Linked DNA regions of Drosophila melanogaster. The protein of the gene in region 1 interacts with the protein of each later gene in a pairwise test. Each region holds a gene or a part of one and is shown on either strand. Other genes may lie near its edges. The genes, in order: pip, CG10469, Snmp1 and Zip88E.

Region 1 (4,976 bases):
AATAATTATTTTTTAATTTGCCACCCGCCGCAGACAGACAGCAATAATTAACTTTCCCGCGGGCCACCGGCAGCGTGTAAAATTCCCAATATGCATCATTTCCATTGCAGAAAGACAGGCAAAATAAAACAAAACGGCATGCAAAACTCGAAAGAAAATGAAGAAAAGAAAAACAAATCACATCACTGAATATAATTACCAAAGAGTAAGTGACTGCATGTCGTGGCGCCCAGAGAAAGAAAGAAACTGGCAAGAAAGAGAAGAATTGCTGAGAAAGGCGCACAGAAGAAAGACTTGAAGACTTGTAGACTCGGCAGCGAAGAGCCAGCTACAGTCTTTTCAAGCGCGGCTTGAGTCTTCGCCCTCTTTCTTTTGGGGCGTTCTAAATAATTTCTGTCACGCTTCGGCTTGCAGTGAAAATAAGAGTGAGTTTTGTTTTTTGTATTAGGTAAACCCTAATCCAAATGGAAAGCAAATCAGAAACGTAATTTATGCTAATTCGAAAGAAATTATTGCATAACTGCACTTCATTCCACTCATTGAGCGTATAATTGTCTTTTTTGACTTTTCAAATCGATTCGAATCGATTCCGACTGATTTTTCTCAACTGGGTGCAACGAACTCATTTTCTACGTATGCTCATTTATCGCGTGTCCGGATAATGAAGCTGCCAAACATCTGTCGCCGAGTTATTTAAGCAAAACCAATTAATTTCATTAATTAATATCAATTTGAGAGCGTACAAAAGAATTGTGCAAATAACGACGTAAGTGTACGCAGCAATATGGCTGGGAATTTATGTATTTATGTTTCTCTGCAGGACAATTCGTATCTGTTGTGATAAATCATATCCATATTCAAATATTTGCACTATTTTGTTGTGCAAATGGCAAGATTACTCGTTTCACTAAGTCGCCTGGCCATCGGAAATGGATAAAAAATAAATGTTTACCTGATTGATTGGCAGACTGACTGAGTGGCCAACTGATTGACTGAGAGTTTGCAGCTGCATGAAATTGTCAAAATGAGCGTAAAATTTATGCTCCAGCCAGCGGTAACCACAGAAAGTATCACACATATCTACATTTAAGCCATGTGTTTAATTAATGCCAGTAATTCATACATTTAATGTAATAATTTGTTCTGCAAATAAACGGGAAATGGGCCTCGCTTCGCGAAAATTAACGAGGGCTTTATAGGAAAAAAGGATATCTAGCAGGGACTCAATAAGTGGGAAAATGTTTAAATAAAATATAAAACATATGTATGTCGTTGATCCAATTTGCCATTAGCTTGAGCTAAGATCTCACAGTTATACGCAAATAGCTGTGAGCCATGACTTCACCACGTTTTGCCTTAATGAAAAGCAAATTCTCACACCCTTTTAAAAAGTCAACAAAAACGGTAAGAAATAGTTTCCCAAAAGCCAATTAGCCCATAACATGTGTAGTCGGTATATCATTAGTTTACATCTCGACGCACTCGTTGCAACAAATTTGGCCATACAAACGGAAAAAAGAGCGAATCTTTCACAATAGCGGACGCAGTGGCTCAGTTCTCTGGCCTAAACACCTTTTAATAGCCAAAATTGTTATGGGCGGCCGCAGAAACCGCCGGCCGTCGACCATCGACCATCGACTAATGAGCGGGCAGTCAAGTTGGGGGGCTCTTAACTTTTATCTGAGCTGACTTGGCCCGAACTGAGCCGAGTTGGGTTCTGTAAAAGGCCAGAACAAACACCGAAAAATGCAGGCCCACACAATGCAGTGGTAGGATGGTGGTAAGACACGGCTCTTTTGGCTACTTGAAATAGTTGAAGTGAGCTCGGCTTTTGTGGTTTTCCTCCTCTTCATCTGCCGCCCCGAGGTGCTACACCAAATGAATTATGAGAAGAATTGAAAATGAAAAACGCAATAAAAAATAGAAACAAGATTGTAGCTTTTAACTGGAGCAGAGATTGAAAAAACGACAGACGCAAGTGCACAGAGAAAAGTTTATGAAACATTTAAAATTAAATGTTGAAGTACAGTGTTTACAAAGCTTTAATACTTGCTTTTAATAAGTCTTCAAAATATAAGAAAACATTTTCAAAGTATAAATAATAAATACAAAAAAAATAAAAGGATAAATAATAGACCCCTTTTTGTATATATAAATTTTTGAAAATATTTTCAATTGATACAGTACTTGGAAGCTCATATCAGCATTCGTAACAATTTTTCATAGCTTAATTAAAAGTACTCAATCAATTTTTTAAAATAAAGTTCTTAAAGCTCGTCGATCTACATAAACCCATCTAAGTCGATGAGATTCATATTAAATTTAAGATCAAAAATATCTATTTCTTCTAGTGTAGCTGCAATTAATTTACTGGCTGGCACTACTTAAAGTCCGTCAAGAATGTTCGAACTGCTCTGGCCAGCAATTGGAGTTTTTATTTAATTTTATTTATCAAATACAACGACCCTGAAACACTATCACTTTTAGCCAGATGCGAAAAACGGAAAGTTAAGCGCTTTTTATGGAGAATCGAGAGCAGAGTATTTTTAATCTTTAGCGCTGCGGCAAACGCAATCTTCGATCTACCAACTCGATTTCGATTCTCTGGCCATTCAATGGCAATTATGACCGGTTTTCAATTTAACTGAAACTGGAACTCAATTGCATTTCCCCTTTGAAACGAACACCGTTCTCGAGTGAAAGAAATCTTTTCTCCGCCGCCTTTTTCTCGGCTGAAGACCACACTTACCGCTTGGGATACGGTATGCGCCGGTATTTGAAGGCATTTTCCACATCGCGCAGTTTCATTTTGTACGATCGCTCGGCGTTCAGAGACATCCAATGTCAATTACACAAAAAACACAATCGCTTGAGATCTTAGTTCTCGAAGACCTTTCTTGGCCGAAAGAATTTTCCGGTCGGCACTTGGGTTCACTTGAGTTCCGATTCACGATTCGAAGACTTAGAGATATAGACGTCCGTAGAGCTCGGCGATCGCGGCTTGACTGAATGTTCCTGGGGGCACTTGGCCGCCTTTTTGGCCAACTTTAAGACGTTGGCAGCGGCGGCTTACCACTGTTTGCTTTTACCATTTTCTTCGACTCTCTTTGGCTCTGTTTATTCGCTCTTTTGATCGCTCTTTGTTCGCTGGCTGACTGATTTCGTGGGGACGTGACTGTAGCCCATTTGTCTGTGGCAACATTTTTATTATTACCCCACATCTGACATTAATCTACTTAGACATATTTATTTAGGTCGTCCAAACAGCGAAGTGTCTTTATTCTCTGCGCAAGGAATCGAATTTCGGGCACTTGTTTCAATATCCTTTATTGGATCAGCTGGTTTACCGACCTTAATGGTAATTTGTTCGGTTGAATAGAACATATTGCGTGTGATCCAAACCACGTTGGCAAAAATAAGAACTTTAGTTTTTTCTATTTCTTCATAGAGGAAGGGAGAATTAGAATTAAAAACAGGTTTACCTTTGAACCCATCCCCCCCAATGGACAGTCGAAAAGTTGACCTTCCCGCTTTTGTAATTTCCATCGATTAGTTTTGGCCATTCGTACATATATAAGCGATTCTTCTCGATGTCTGTCTTCTCGCCTCGTTCGTTAGCCAAACTTCGGGATCTAAGCTTAATTTTTGCCAAACTCAAATCTATAGTTTCTACAAGAGTTGGATTCCGCGATCTCCCCACTTGCTGTCCACAAAGCTAAGCTCATTGACCCTTATTCAACAGTTGACTCTTATGGCACAGTGCCTCAAAGAAATCTTTTTTCCGATTAAATTAGAACATTTAAAAATTAAATTGAGGTACGAATTTTTAATTTACGAGAATTAATACTAGATTTCAATATATTTATACCTTTACTCTTTTATTTAAGTGTGTCTTATCATATATTACTTTAAATTATCTTTTTCAGGTACCTTAACTTTTAACTCTCACTGTAACTGACTTGTCCACTAACTGGCGTCAGACGGCTGTCGAATTTAAGCGTTTACCCATAACTATCTGCATAGGTCCACATTTTTAGGACCGACAAAAAACTGATTGTTTAGTCTTATTAAACTTTTTTTATTTCAGCAACAAGTTGAAAATTCGTGTAAATTTCTCGATAACAATTGCAAAAAAATGGAAAAACGCCAGCCTCAACATAAAAACAGCCAAAACATAAAAGTAAAATTAAAACGAAATGCGTTGGCGGCACATGTCTTGTGTTTATCTGGTAATAATTAAAGGTATTTCAGCATTTGGTACCAAGAAAGTGAGTAGCTAAAAACTTGTAAAGTTGCTGCCTATTGCATTGATGACTGTCCAAATCGACTGAGATAATTGAGCTATCTGAATGATCAGACTCTTTCTCCGATTTCGAAACTTAAAAGCCGACGAGTTGTTAGGCTGTCGGTTTTCGGGTTAAGTTTATCAGCTGTCCAATTGTGGTCGCTCACAATATGTTGGCTATATCTTCGGTCCGATGCCATGGTTTTTTGCTGCCAACTGTCCCTTTGTGGCTGTGCCGATTGCGCTGAGCTGGCCAACTCGATTGTAAACAACTGCAATTGGCCCTAGGTGCAAACACAAATAGCTGATTGTGTGAGTTTGTGGCAGGTGTGCGTATATATTATATTTGGCCAATACTCGGCAGTGTATTTTATGCAGCGAGGTTTTCCATGTTAATTGGTTGGCATGTTTAATACATCCGCTTAAATATATAAAAGAAATTTAAAATCGTATTCGGTAAATAAATTTATTATTTACACAAATTCTAAATTAATATATTATATGTATATGTTATATGTAAGTGCGTACGATAAATAAATAATTTCATCAATTTGCATTAATCTAGAGTGAATACTTTTAGTAGATATATGTATTATATGTATATTAATGACCACGGCATAAAAAGAACTGCAAAATTATTAACTTTAATAGCCAGATATTTAAATGTGTTAATAATAAATAAAAGCAACAA
Region 2 (3,653 bases), about 13 Mb from region 1:
AAAAAATAAAAACTACAAACAAAACGAATCGAAGAGAAAACAAACTAATTTAATCAGCCGAGTTCTTATCAACTTATTCGCTTTGTTAACTAACAAATTGTATAGCTTTTCCACAATTTCGTTTACACTTTTTGTACATATAGGGAAAATACTAAAAGAATCGTTAAAAGAACCAAATTATATCACTCACCATTATTGTACTGAATCATTTCCATTTATGTGTTTGTACATTTTGAGAACTGCATTTACGAAATAGCGAGAACAAATAAGGTAAATTAAAGCAAGGGGGAGAATTGCAAATAATCAGCAACATTAACCACACTCACACGTAAACCAAGCCCACAAAACGAGAACATCTAAACATTATCATAAACAAATTGTTTAAACGACATGCAAAGTCACAAATAACATACAAATCGAAACCAACATTAAGAAATGATAACAAATTTAGCAAAGCCACAAGAGAATATTATGAAAATGGAACGGAGAACGAGAAAGTGTATGGGAGTTTGTATGAAGTAATAAGAATAAAGCACACGTTTGAAAAGAGATTCGATTTTTAATGATTCCACATCAACTACTTAAGTCCTCCAGAGTAGTATTTAATCCACTTGAGGTAGGAAGAAACGCGTGTGGATACGTCGGGCAGTTTTAGCTTGCACTCGCCATCGAATCCGTGGGATACAATTCCCACCAGGGTTCTGCTGCCATCGTCCAAGACCATCGGACCTCCGGAGTCGCCGCGACATGGCAGACCCTTCTTGGAATCGATGCAGATGAAGCCGTTGTGCACGACCTTTTTGCTTTTGCCGCCCAGCTGCTTGTTCCACTGCCTCTCGCACTCCTTGTTCGAGATGATGGGCGCCCTGATGTACTGGAGCACCTGGCTGGGCAGCTGCTTGGTGGTCAGACCCCAACCCGAAATGATGGCTTTGCGACCCGTGTATGTTTTCTTGGCACTGGGCAACTTGGCGGGTTGGATATACTTGTTAAATGTAAGCTTCTTGGGTAATTTGATCAGGGCTATATCGTTTGTCACGGTCTTACGGTCGAACTTCTTGTGGACGATGGTGTAGCTCCGGTTGACCACGATTTCTTTATCATCAAAGGATTTCACCTTTCCCACGTGGATCAGCACTTTCCAGCTAAGTAGGTGAGAAATATAGATATATATAAATCGGCGGAGTATGTGTATGTTACTTACAGATTAGACTTTGGATCCTGCAGACAATGGGCTGCGGTTATAATCCAACGATTACTGAGGATAGTGCCCCCGCACATATTGGGCTCATCCTTGGATCCTTCGAAGTAGCAAAGTAGTCCAACCTGGTAAGGCAACTGCTTCGCTTTTGCCGCTGTGCCATTCATTATTCGCAGGGAGCCAGTCTCCTGGCCAAATACCAGGGAGAACTGCACGATAAGCACCAGCTGGAGAATCATTTCAATTGATTTACAACTCCAAACCCTTGAACAGCTTTATATATTGCCCGTATTCGTGGTTTTCATTGATTGCCCCGGTTTTATGATTGCGGCGTGTTCGAACCTCTTTGCATAATCTGCGTGCTTTTGGTTTATTGGTTATAATAATTACGGGTTGCTTGAATAGTCGGATACATGGTACATATACGTATATATAAGTAAGATAAGATTCTCACTCAGTGAGAAACTCCGAACTTGTAGATGACTTCGTGCTGGTAACTTTCGCCAGGTCGCAAAATGGTCGAGGGAAAGTTGCTGTGGTTCACGGAGTCGGGAAACTTTTGTGTCTCCAGGCAGAAGGCACAATGCTTGGCATAGGCAGCTCCATCCTTGCCGGGAATGGGCGATTCACCGCGTTCCACGTCTGGCATAAAGTTGGAGGTGTAGAACTGCACTCCGGGCTGATTGCTGACCACCTCCAGCCAGCGTCCGCTGGGCGGATGAGTGGCTCTGGCCACCTTGGCCAATGGTTGTGGTGGACTGAAGGTCACACAGAAGTTGTCATCGTAGCCGCGAGCTGGCTGCAGCGCCTTGAGGCGTTCACCCAGATTGCTGGACACACGTAAATCAAATCCTGTTCCCTCTACGGGTGTGATACGGCCGGTGGGAATGGAAGACTGATCCGTCTCAGTGATTCCATAAGCATTTATCTCGATGGTGTGCTCGTAGAGACCGTTGGCTCCAGATTTGTGGCCAGCTAGGTTGAAATAGGAGTGGTTGGTGAGATTCACGGGAGTGGTTTTATCTGCTAGTGCACTCATCTGGACATGGAGGCAGTTATCCTCGCTGAGGGTAAAGCTTGCCGTGGCTGTCACCTTGCCGGGATAGCCTTCGTGTCCATCGGGATTGGTGTGGGACAGGGTAACACCATCCACACGCACTTCCACAACTTCCCAGTGAGCCTTATCGAAGCCTACAAAGCCGCCATGGAGCTGAAACTTGTTGTCTCGGTTCTTAGACACCTGAACTAGCTTTCCATCAAGATAAAAGCTGCCATTGGCAATCCGGTTGCAAACCCGCCCAATGGTTGCTCCAAAATACGGATTTCTCTCGCTCTGATAGCCCGCCAAATCGTCAAATCCGAGGGTCACGTCATCTATTTGACCGCTGGCATCAGGCGTCTTTATGCTGGTAATGGTGGCTCCACGGGTGATCAATTGCACGGACATTCCAGCTCCATTTGTCAGGGTGAACCGCTTGATGGTGTCCTTTGACTTGGTGAACGGATTCACCGCTCCGTTGGCGAAGACGTCTTCCGTGACGTTGACCATTTTGGATCCGGCTGCAGCTGTGGAATGATTACGAGTGCCAATTGCACTGCGTTTTTATCTGACCCTCTCCAAGCCGTAAAGGTTAATCAGCACTCGATGTGCGTATGTGTTTGTTTTAATTATCGCAAAAAAGCCGCAAACAAAATGTACATATGTACGTACATATATAAACAGATCTAGTTATCACAAATTGGTGGGAAAGTCTGCGATAAGGGGGATAGACACCTTGTGGAGTCTTTAAGAATTGTGCAATGTTCGTATTCCAAATTTAGCGGTAATTCAGAAAATTCTTACTTAAATTATCTTTTAATCGCCGTAGTTGCAATTCAAATTTTAGAGTTGCCTTACCTATTTTAGACCAGCTGTTTTTACATGTGCGTAGTAAGTAAAAATTCGCAGGGGCTTGTTTTAGTAGTTAAAAATTTGTTGGTAAAATTTTTTGATATTTGCTTATTAAGCCTTTTAAATAGAACAATTTTATTAACATACTTGAATACAATATACATTTTTTTATATATATGTTTAAATGCCCATCTTTGCTACACAGTGGTGGCAGTTGCAAAGATCTGGCAGCCCTGCTCTAGAAATACCACACAGCAAATAGTCCACCTCTAAGCAACAGGTCGGTTGTTTATTGAATTCGTTTATTTAACTTTATGGGTAGTTTGGCAAATAGAAAGCTAGCTAACCGGTGCAGTTAACCCTTTTTGTTGACAGAGAGCTCAGAGGAAACGGCAGATTAGATCCCCCTGAGTTCATCCCCACCCAGGCACCACTAATCCGACGAGTATAAATCCCAAAATGCAATTGACGTGGCAGAGAGATCAGATAAATCTAGTACTTCCGATTGCTCTGATTTGTTGTTGTCTTTTGATCGACGTAACCAGCGCTCAGGAGGCCCAA
Region 3 (5,557 bases), on another chromosome or scaffold:
GTTGAAGATTTCGCAGCCCCAGGATCTGGAGCATCTTTACTTGGCCAATACCAATCTGTATAGACTTGACTTTCTGTCCAAGGCCAGTAAGCTCGTTGACTTGGATGTAACGGACATTGTAAATCTCGCGGATTTACCCAAAATTACCTCAGCCAAGGGATTGGAAAGATTGAGTTTTACCTACGACAACTTGACTTCGAATCACATGGACATGTTGCCCCATCTGAAGGATCTCAACTACTTGGAGATAAGTCACGAGAAGGGAAAGGAGATCTTTATCAAGGATCTGGATGAGGATTTCTTTGTCGAGGAAGCGGAACTCAATTGCGGCCAGTTGGCGGATCTGTTGGAGTTCGTCGAACTGCCTAAGGACACAACCATTTTGGAAGATAGATTAGTTGGAGATCCTCGAGGGCCAATGAGATGTGGAATGGCATAGAAAAATAATCTATTAAATGGGAAATAGTATTAAAATTCCTACTTATTTATACTAATGAGAAAATATTATATAAATGAAACTGCATAAATTAAGCCAAATAAATACCATTTATTTGCCCCCTCTTTGTTTGATTTTACATTTACAACTACAAACACTTCACTTTAAGGGGCCAACAGAACAAGTACTTATAATTCGTCTTCATTAAAATTAATTAAAAAAGTGTAATTTTTGCATACTGTTTACAAATCATTAATCAACGCTATACAAGTTGAGATATTTTCACTTCAACTTTTCCGCCTGTCTCCGCAATTGTTTTCGGTTTGCAAACATTGCAGCCATTGTTTAAAAACGATTTGTCAATTCACCGACTCTTGTGATCGCTGAACTCGAACTTCTGAACTTCTGCGTTTTTTTATTTTTTATTACTGAATCCACGATGATCGGTGTCAGTGGAGCGCACAGATCTTGTCATCTGCGATCAGTGGTCATCGATTAGCGATCACTCCATTGGCCAGCGACCAGTTTCCCAGACGAATGTGCTTAGATCTGTCTCAGTTGATTAGCTCATATTGGACTACACAGGTGCAGTGGACTACGACTATGGTGCAGAGATCGCTGGAGAATGCCATTTGGGGTATTAGTAGCGCTCCCGATGCTCCATTTTGTGATGGGTAGCTGGATTGGTAGCGGGATTCGTGCCGGGAATCAGAGTATTGGGCAACTGAACAGGGTGCACAGTAGAAGATTGCTTTGGATTTGCTGAAGGCAAGGGCTCCTTTGTGCTGGCCACGTCGTCTACCTTGTTGTTATCCTTGAGGATGCTGTTTATGTCCAAACTGTCGGATTTGTGGTAGAAAAGATAGGCGGAAAACATCAGGCCCACCAGGGAGAAAGTAATGAGGGACCAGCGCAGGACTGAGTTGATTTTTAGGCCCCTAAAAAGATAATTAAAATATGTTATATAATTTCTCTTAACAATGTAGATTCCAACTTACAGAAATAGTGTGTATTTCACTAAGTTCGTGTAGGTCTTGTTCAACTGCACGCCCTCCTCCACCCAAAACATGGGCAATATCAGCTTGGGTAGATTCTTCATGGGTTCAATGCCCTCCACTGGCTCCATGTCCAGATTAAACTGCAAACGCTTGGCAGCCTGAAAAGGTGTTCCAGACATCTGAAGGGAGTAGAAATAGATAATATGCATGTATATTCATTACTCAAATTGCTTGCTTACAAGTTCAAAGTCTATGTAGACCGCATGATCCTTTTCATTCGGATTGAGACCATCAACGTCGGCAACCAGCTTTGGATCGCCCAGATAGAAATGAGGCATTGATGCCATCAATGGACCACCAACACAGGCCGCCAGATTCATAGTGCCCTTGGGCGGACACGTGTCCAGATCTTCGGGATCTTCGCAGAAACAATGAAGCTTCTCATCGGCACGTATATCCCCCAAATCCAGGGTGTATCTCATCGATGGCATGCCATGGTAGGATGACTTGTGCTGATAATAAGCGCCCAGGGATCTACACAAATCCGGCGTGAATGCCCACAGGCCATCCTCCTTTTTCAAGCCCGGTGCAAAGACCGTAGAATCAGTGCCCACAAAGGTGTTGCACTCGCCATCTGGCCAAATGTCTTGCTCCGGTTCGTCGGCGAATTTCACTACCTTTCCAAGCTTTTTGTTATTTTTCACTCCGCGACAGACAGTGAATCTGCCAGAATCCGAGTGATTGGCCTGTTTTTCGATGTTAATTGAAATTTCAGTCACTTAAGTAGTATTAATTGGCAGTATTAAGAACTCACCTGACCCATAAACGAGAACAAAAAGTGAGTTTGATTGACTTGTTTGGCCTGCTTAATTTCTCCCGTGTAAAACACGGTGCAGAGCGCCTTTGCGGAGAATTCTTCCGAGGAGCAATCTACGTTGATGCCGCGGAAAAATAAATCCATAAATTTAGCTTTCAAAAAGGCTTTGGCATCCGGAAAGACAATGCTTAATCCTTTGGAAACCAGCTCCATCATGGCAGCCTTTTCCCTTTGAACCGAAATGCCGCCAGGCTGTAAAAATTGGAAAGGGAAAAACATATAATCGCCGCCAATAAATCGCAGACTAAATTCAGCTTAGAATTACAGAACACAAAAGACGCCATTCTGAAATCCATTTCTATCACTCTTAATGGGTTAATTTTGTGGCTGCTATTTTGGGGCTGGGAATGCGATTTGCATAATTCACATGGCTAACAATGGGCCACGTGGTCATTAGCTGGCGCCTTAAGTGCAGTTTTCCATAGCTCTGACTAGAATCTCTAATTCCCAACGTTTGCCATAAAGTCGCTGATGCAGTGAGTGTTGATTTTAAATTTACTAACCATTTTTAGTAAGGTATAGCAGGGTATGGGATTGAATTTTATATGAAGAAATGGAAGAATATGATTGATTTAACGAAAATGTTTGGAAACTTGTATAGTTTCAAAAAATATGAACTAAACCATTTAATAATTACCAGCATTATGGGATGCGGCAAAATAATCTCCTCCTCGCCCGTAAGTGGCAGCGACTCCTTCGGGTTGAAAATGAACGTGTTCCTCATGGTGAAGCTGACCGTGTCCTCTACGACATCATCCTCCAAATCATACTTGTCCTTCCACTCACTCAAAGCAGGGAGAAACAGTGTTAGTTACTTGCTATCCTACACAATCCAATATATAGAAACCCACTCGAAAACGAAGGGACCCACTTCCTGTAGCCGTGGCTTAGCTCCTTCGGATACCTCATCCGGATTGGTTACGTTGAAAACGTAGATATAGAAATGCAGTGGGAATGGAGTATTGGACCAGAGTTCCCGAACATCCGATCCGGGCTTTAAAGTTACTTGCTATTGGGTGGGAAGCTATTATAAGATTTAAGCCGGGTATAACTCCCTCATCGATCCCACCTTCGATATCATAAACTTGAGAATTTTGGGAAAGATAACCCAGCCATAGATGATGGCAAACACGAACATGGCTCCCGACCCCATGAGCAGCTTAACCCGAGGTACTTGCATCTCTGGGCAATGTTTCGATCTCTACTCGATTCGTGCACGGAAATCCTTTCAATCCGATTGCCTCCTTCGAGCTGAAGACCAGAGGCTTTCACAGTCGCGACGCAACTGAATCGTCTCCACACTGAAGTCCGGAATCCCCTCCTCAAATCGGACGGAACGTGCGAATATTTTTCACTCAGCCATAGCAGCAGCATTTGCGGTTGAGGAGGCGGCAGGCCGGATGGCAAAACAATCAGATAACACGGCATTACTTATAAAATCAATAATTGCATGTATTTGAGTATTATAAATTGTTTCCACTTTACGCTCTACACTCCACGCAGTTTCGGCCATAGTCGGACGCACGAATGCGGTATAACTGGCTTTTGTTCATCTGGACCCTCGTCATCAAGTCGTTTTGATCGTACACCTATATTTCAATCAGACTTAATTGTTCGCATAGCCCAAATGGGCCAAAATGCATTGAAATGCATTTGATGTACCAACAAGTTTGGACTAGGAATATAAACAAGATCGTTTAATTGCCTTTCTTTAGGGGGAAGTAAAGGAATATCCTCAGTTTTTCTATAATTTGCAACCACTTCTATAAAAGTGTAACCCATTTTGGTTTTGAAATTGATATTAGCAAACACCATACATAACCCATAGATACGCATTAGCTACCCAAAGAACCTACTATCACCTACCTAAACGTTATGCACTTGGACTTGTAGAACTTATTTCTATACTTCTGTAATTGAATTTCGAAATGACTTATGCGACACCTGGCCTATATTCCACTATTAGCACTTGTTACCTTTCCTTGGAAACTTTTCTTCCCTAATTGCGGCAATTACGTTTTCCAATTTCAAGGAGAACCAATGCAAGTGTTGATGGCTAATTAGGGAAAGAGTAAGCCAGACTCGCGAGGTTTGATATTAGCTTGAGTGAGAAGAGCAAATATTTCTATTATATTTTGGAAAATTGTATTTTCTGGATTTATTTTATTTTAAATTTTCAAAGTAATTTATAACTTATTTGCTATAAGGTTATCCTATTCTAAAATTAGAAGCAGTTGAGTTTTGTAAAGACATAAGGCGTTAAATAATGCTAGTATCCATTTTTATTATGGCTTCACTGTCAAAACCTTAAAAGATACATTTTAGGCGTAAGCATCGAGTAAAATACTTCTTCATAAGTAAATCTAGTAAATACTCTTTTTTAATGATGTTCATGCAACTTAAACCTTGTTTTTACAGTGAATGATTGTATACACAGTTTCCAGACTCTGGTCTCAATATCTATGAAGTATCTAAGTATCCATCAAATCTGAAATATTTTCGTTGCCTTGTAATCTGAATATTTGTAGTGCGTAAAGCATTCTTCAATTAGCCAATAAATCCATTTAAGTTAGATGCTCTGCCACCTTGACCGGCTAACTGGGCTCGGCAACGCCCCTTTCAGTTGGTCGTTTGTTGACACAAACAGAAATCGAAACTGAAACCGAGTGCAAAACATAATGCATAACAATGGCACAAAACAAAAAAAAAATGAAAAAAACAAACAAGAAAACTACAGACAGAGAAACAACTTAAACAATGCCAAAACCCAAAACACGTGACTGCGCCATCGACTCGAGTTGCGTTGAGTTGACTTGAGTCGAGAAACATACATACATATATGTAAGACAGACAGACAGACAGACAGACAGAACCTCTCCAGCTCGCCAGTGGAAAATGACACAGAAAAGCGAGTTGCGGCGAGACGCGAGTGGAAATTGAAGCGCGCTTGACAACGGCAGCCGATCGTTTAGATACAGATACTTTGCCATAAGTTTCAGTATGTTCGACCAGGTTTCTTCGATTTTCTGCTGAGCGAATGTAAATTAAAATTGAAAATGAAGTGCCAGCGTAGCCAACAATTTGATTATGTTCGAACTGGAGGCGAAAGAGGAAATTCTCAATTTCGTTTGCTACCAATTATTGCTGGCCCAAATAGTTTTGAAAATGCCTAAGTGCTCAAGGGGCTTAAGATTGAGGTAATCCTGGTCTGGGTACATACTTCTTGGACTTGAAGACGACAAATGA
Region 4 (4,310 bases), on another chromosome or scaffold:
AGCTATAATTACTAGATTTATTTATGTTCTAAGTTTGGCGATTCAACGCAGGTCAGCAGATAAACGCACCTGAGCTCGGCGCGAATTTTCGGTTTCTATTGTAAATTAAATTGTTAATGAAGATCAAGGTGAATGATAAGATATGCATATGCACTGGTTTAAGTGTATAAGATCTAATCTACTCATCTCACGTAATTGTAAATCCCCTCCCATCCCAAGTATGTTGCCCTGCTAGCATGAAAATCGTAAATCTAAGAGGAGTTCCCCAAATGACCTTAAATGAGAGATCAGAGACCAAACAACCCAACATTTAGCTATTTATGAGTGTCCGTTTCTTCACACATACACCACCAATAGAGCAACCAAGCAACATTTCACGATTAGGTAAACACTATATATATATATACACATATGCCTATTTACATACATATAGAGATGTAGTTACATAGATGTTGTTTTAATTCGTTTAAAACAGTGACATGATGTCCCCAGAAAGTAATAAAATGATTGCGTTTAATGGTTGGCTAAGTAAGATTAATCAAAAGGAAAAGAGGATGCCCTTTTTTTGATTAACAACTTAATTGTAAGGTTTATTACATATAATAAAAGCATAAAAAATAACACAAACTTTGGAGAAAGAGAAAATATAAATGTAGACGAGAAGACTGAACTTTTTACTTATCCTACGGCAGATCGACAATGTACCTAAAACAAGATTAGTTGGAAATGCACAAGTAACAAGTCTTACACAAGAGATTAACAGCTGCCAATCCATAATATTATCCTAAGTGTTCTAAGTTTAAAAAGCGGCACATTTTCTCACAGCGCTGAAACGATTTCTCAACGAAAAGATGTCTAATCCTCATCTGAAAAGGCGCGAAGAAAATAGGTCAGCAATGTCGAAAGGGAAATGCAAATCACATAATGCTACGCACCAGAAAGATAAAAGTTTATGATGCACATGGTCGCAAAGCCGGCGAGCACAGTTGCAAACTGTGCAAATCCCGCCCAGCGTCGCGTTGAGTTCGAGTGCCAGCGCGCCTTCTCGCGCGGTATCACCTCGCAGACGGTGACGTAGAAGAGTGTGCCTCCGGCCAGAGCTTGGACGATAGGCAGAGTTTTGCTGGACCAAGCGGCGGGCACGTCCACGATAAGCATGCCCAGGCCAATGCCAATGACGGCGCCCAGGGCAAACACCGAAATGCCGACGAACTGGGCGCGAAAACTCGTCTGCGGATTCGAGCGGAACTCGAGCCCCAGACAAAAGCCCATCACGAACTTGTGGCAGGCGACGGCCCCTAGAAGAAACAGAACCTACGACGAGACAAAGCAGATTCCGGTTATCTAATTGGACTAAGCCCTCGCATCTCTTTGCTTCAATATTTGCCTAAGATTGCGCACTATAGCCGATCTAGTCTAACTATGTCAAGGCAGGCGGCACAGACCTTTGTGGAAGAGTTCTGAACGCCGATGGCGAGTCCTTCGATGGCCGAGTGCAGTGACAGGGCGACAAAGAGACCCAGAGTGCCTGTCATGGATTGGGCGCAGGGTTCCGTGTGGCTGGTGTGGCAGATGCGGGCGTTGGCGTCCTCTACACTGGCATCATTACAGCCAGATGCGCTGGCCGGGTGATTGTGGTCATGATCGCTGCGTAATCGAAGCACAAAGCAATTAGTTTTGGCTGCGGGAAGGGAAATGCAATAAACCTACTGGCTATGATGGTGCGAATGCCCATGTGACGTATTGGGTTCCGCTGATAAAAGGGGCGCTCGTTCGTCCACTGCGCCATAACCATTGTCATTAGTGGGACGTCTTGGTGGCTCGGTTGCTGGAGTCTCTGCATCGTGGGCATGAGTGTGCTGAATGGCCTCGCCAAAGAAGTAGTGTATGAACTCGTCGATAAAGTAGATGATGAAGAACCCGCCGCACATGGCAACCTCAGCGAATTTCGAGTCCATTTGTTCGCGCACCTGTTGCATGCGTAAGTCAGCAGGTTATCAAATTGCAGCCACACACACGATCGCAGTCCAAGCTCTTACCTCGGGCAGAATGTGCACCAGTGCGGTGGCTAGCAGAATGCCCGCTCCGAAGCACAGGAGCAGGGATGCGGTCAGCGGGAAGCGGCGACGATTCCGTTCCGATATAAAGGCGGGCAGCAATCCGAACAAAAGACTCCCGAGTCCGAGGACCAGCATAGCCAGCACTTTTTCCAAGTCGCCGCGACTCGTGGCAGCCAGGGTGGGGCTTGGGGTGATCTCCATGTTTAGACCGTCGGTTGGCAAGCTCATTGTATCAACTGCCAGACTGTGTCATCAAGAAGGGGGCCAGTAAAACACACAAAAGTTCGTTGCATTTACTATTTTTAAACTAAACAGTTGCGAAGTGTGTGCAGCTGCTTTCGTGCGAAATACCAAAACGCCTTACAATGGGGGGGCCACAGAAAAGTAAGGCATTTCAGCAGTGCGCCTTTCAGATCACACTCATTTAAACGGTTTTTTTTTTTTTTAATTTTATTTAAACATTTAAATCTAGAACTATTCTTTTACCAACCACCACCATTAAGAATTTCAATAAAAGAAGGTAGGCACCCTCTCCAATTATAGTTTTGCACTTCGACAAATGCTCCTGTAGTTAAAATTCAAAATTTTACCGTTTCCGTCCTGGTTGTCCGTTGGAAAATGCATCGTCGTTGTATAATCTGTGGCCAGGAGCCGGGCGAGCAGTGCGTCTACCCGCGCAACATGTCGGAGGCTCGCCGGTGGCAGAACTTGGCCAACCTCAGCAGTTTTGACGTCGACCCCGAATCGCTATGCCGGCACGGATGCGTTTGCGCCTCCCATTTGGATGGCCACGGATCAGGTTCGGAATCGGAGAGCTCGTCTCGTGCTGCTGGCAGGGCAAGGACTCAAGCTGGCCTGCAGGAATGGAGCAGGTGGAGCTCTTCGGCATCGGACGCTGGCCATGGCTATTCCATCAGCAAAAAGACTAACGAGCGGATCCAGAACCAAAGCAAACAGAGTCTCGGCTCGGAGAGGCAGGAATTCAGCAGCGCGAACAGATGTACGAATGGTTGCTGTCGTTTTCGAAACACCTGCAACAGCATGTTCCAGGGCAATACATACACCCAAATGGGACAGAAGTATCCCAATCCACAAACAAGGGCCACAAACTTAGAGAACAAAAATAATCCACCTATGAAATTAAGCCCAAGGGTAAATAAACCGACCTTTGGAGCTGTAAACTGCACCTGTGATGGATGCACCTGTAGTTTCTGTCCAGTGCAAGGGATCAAAAAAGCGGTAGCCCCTCTAGAAGAGGATTCAGGCAGCCAACAAAGTATAAATAAAGAGTATAAAGAAAGAAAGGATAATTCCAAAGGCAGCCCAAAAAAACAGAGTTCCTGTGAACGTCTCACTTGTCCAGCTTTCAGGACAACGGACATAAAAACTGTAGCAGATGATTTCCGCAGTAGCCCGAACTACCCGGTATCGCCAACTTCACGAGGTAACAACAAAATTAAAAGTTCGATGAACCAGCAGAATACGAAGAAAAAGCCGGAGCTGAAGAGCGAATGCTGCCAGACGTGCATCACCCAGCAATTGAAGGATCAGGAAGTGCAGTGCTCAACGGTGACGCTGCAGACTCAGAGCTCTTCGCCTGTTAGGCGAACCAAGATGACCGGCTCGTTCAGCCATCAAACTGGAAGCTCAGCGACAGGTTTATCTGGCGGATACACCAATAATTCGAATAACTTTACTTGTGGCGGCGGCGAGAGAAGAACTTCAAATGCAATCAACGTGCTGCTTATGAACGGCACCCGGAATAATGACTATGAAGATGGGTGCTGCTCTCCGGCGAAGCAACGTCCCATGGCGCCGCCTCCAGAGATTTGCGTTCAAGAGTCCGATCTGACCGAAAATGATGAGCGAGCTGTGTTCCCGGAAATCGACAAGCCCAATTACAGAGTTTGTCGATCCTCGAACGAGACCAATGTTCTGGTCCTGGAGGAGAGTCCTTTGAATGATTGCAGCCCCAACCCAGGGCAGGATGCGAGTACACTAGATAGCAAGACGAAGAGTAATTTTGATGCTCAACAAAACGCCAACGATAATAAAGAGCAACATAATAGTTTTCTAATCAACTGGCTTGAGTCCCCGGCCACGAGTAACTTCACCAAGGTTCTGGAACTGCAGAGATCTCGCATCAAGGAGCTGGAGAATCTGCTGGAGCAGCACAGCCTTCTGCAGCAGACAATCCAGCACAAGGTTGCGGAGCTGCAGTGCACAGATATACCGGATCCTAAAAATATA

What was found.
Region 2: the proteins of pip (region 1) and CG10469 interact in a two-hybrid assay, tested with the Drosophila melanogaster proteins (one large-scale study listed by BioGRID).
Region 3: the proteins of pip (region 1) and Snmp1 interact in a two-hybrid assay, tested with the Drosophila melanogaster proteins (one large-scale study listed by BioGRID).
Region 4: the proteins of pip (region 1) and Zip88E interact in a two-hybrid assay, tested with the Drosophila melanogaster proteins (one large-scale study listed by BioGRID).

Annotation. Positions count from the first base shown.
Region 1 is NT_037436.4:19,334,593-19,339,568, forward strand, and holds the start of pip (pipe), read right to left. Parts: upstream 3,018-4,976; 5' UTR 2,839-3,017; coding exon 2,750-2,838; intron 1-2,749. UniProt on the Drosophila melanogaster protein: Sulfotransferase involved in dorsoventral axis patterning in early embryos.
Region 2 is NT_037436.4:6,091,646-6,095,298, forward strand, and holds CG10469 (uncharacterized protein), read right to left. Parts: upstream 1,656-3,653; 5' UTR 1,441-1,655; coding exon 1,205-1,440; intron 1,146-1,204; coding exon 578-1,145; 3' UTR 543-577; downstream 1-542. Other genes in the region: CG10467 (uncharacterized protein), read right to left, coding at 1,656-2,750; loj (logjam), read left to right, coding at 3,552-3,653.
Region 3 is NT_033777.3:21,164,638-21,170,194, forward strand, and holds Snmp1 (sensory neuron membrane protein 1), read right to left. Parts: upstream 3,569-5,557; 5' UTR 3,492-3,568; coding exon 3,381-3,491; intron 3,321-3,380; coding exon 3,163-3,320; intron 3,097-3,162; coding exon 2,949-3,096; intron 2,504-2,948; coding exon 2,249-2,503; intron 2,181-2,248; coding exon 1,674-2,180; intron 1,614-1,673; coding exon 1,435-1,613; intron 1,375-1,434; coding exon 1,077-1,374; 3' UTR 530-1,076; downstream 1-529. Other genes in the region: CG5810 (uncharacterized protein), read left to right, coding at 1-439. UniProt on the Drosophila melanogaster protein: Plays an olfactory role that is not restricted to pheromone sensitivity. Has a role in detection and signal transduction of the fatty-acid-derived male pheromone 11-cis vaccenyl acetate (cVA). Not required for sensitivity to general odorants.
Region 4 is NT_033777.3:15,266,741-15,271,050, reverse strand, and holds Zip88E (Zinc/iron regulated transporter-related protein 88E), read right to left. Parts: upstream 2,390-4,310; 5' UTR 2,289-2,389; coding exon 2,040-2,288; intron 1,971-2,039; coding exon 1,711-1,970; intron 1,648-1,710; coding exon 1,446-1,647; intron 1,315-1,445; coding exon 936-1,314; intron 867-935; coding exon 856-866; 3' UTR 519-855; downstream 1-518. Other genes in the region: Cp190 (centrosomal protein 190kD), read left to right, coding at 1-8; CG14864 (uncharacterized protein), read left to right, coding at 2,679-4,310.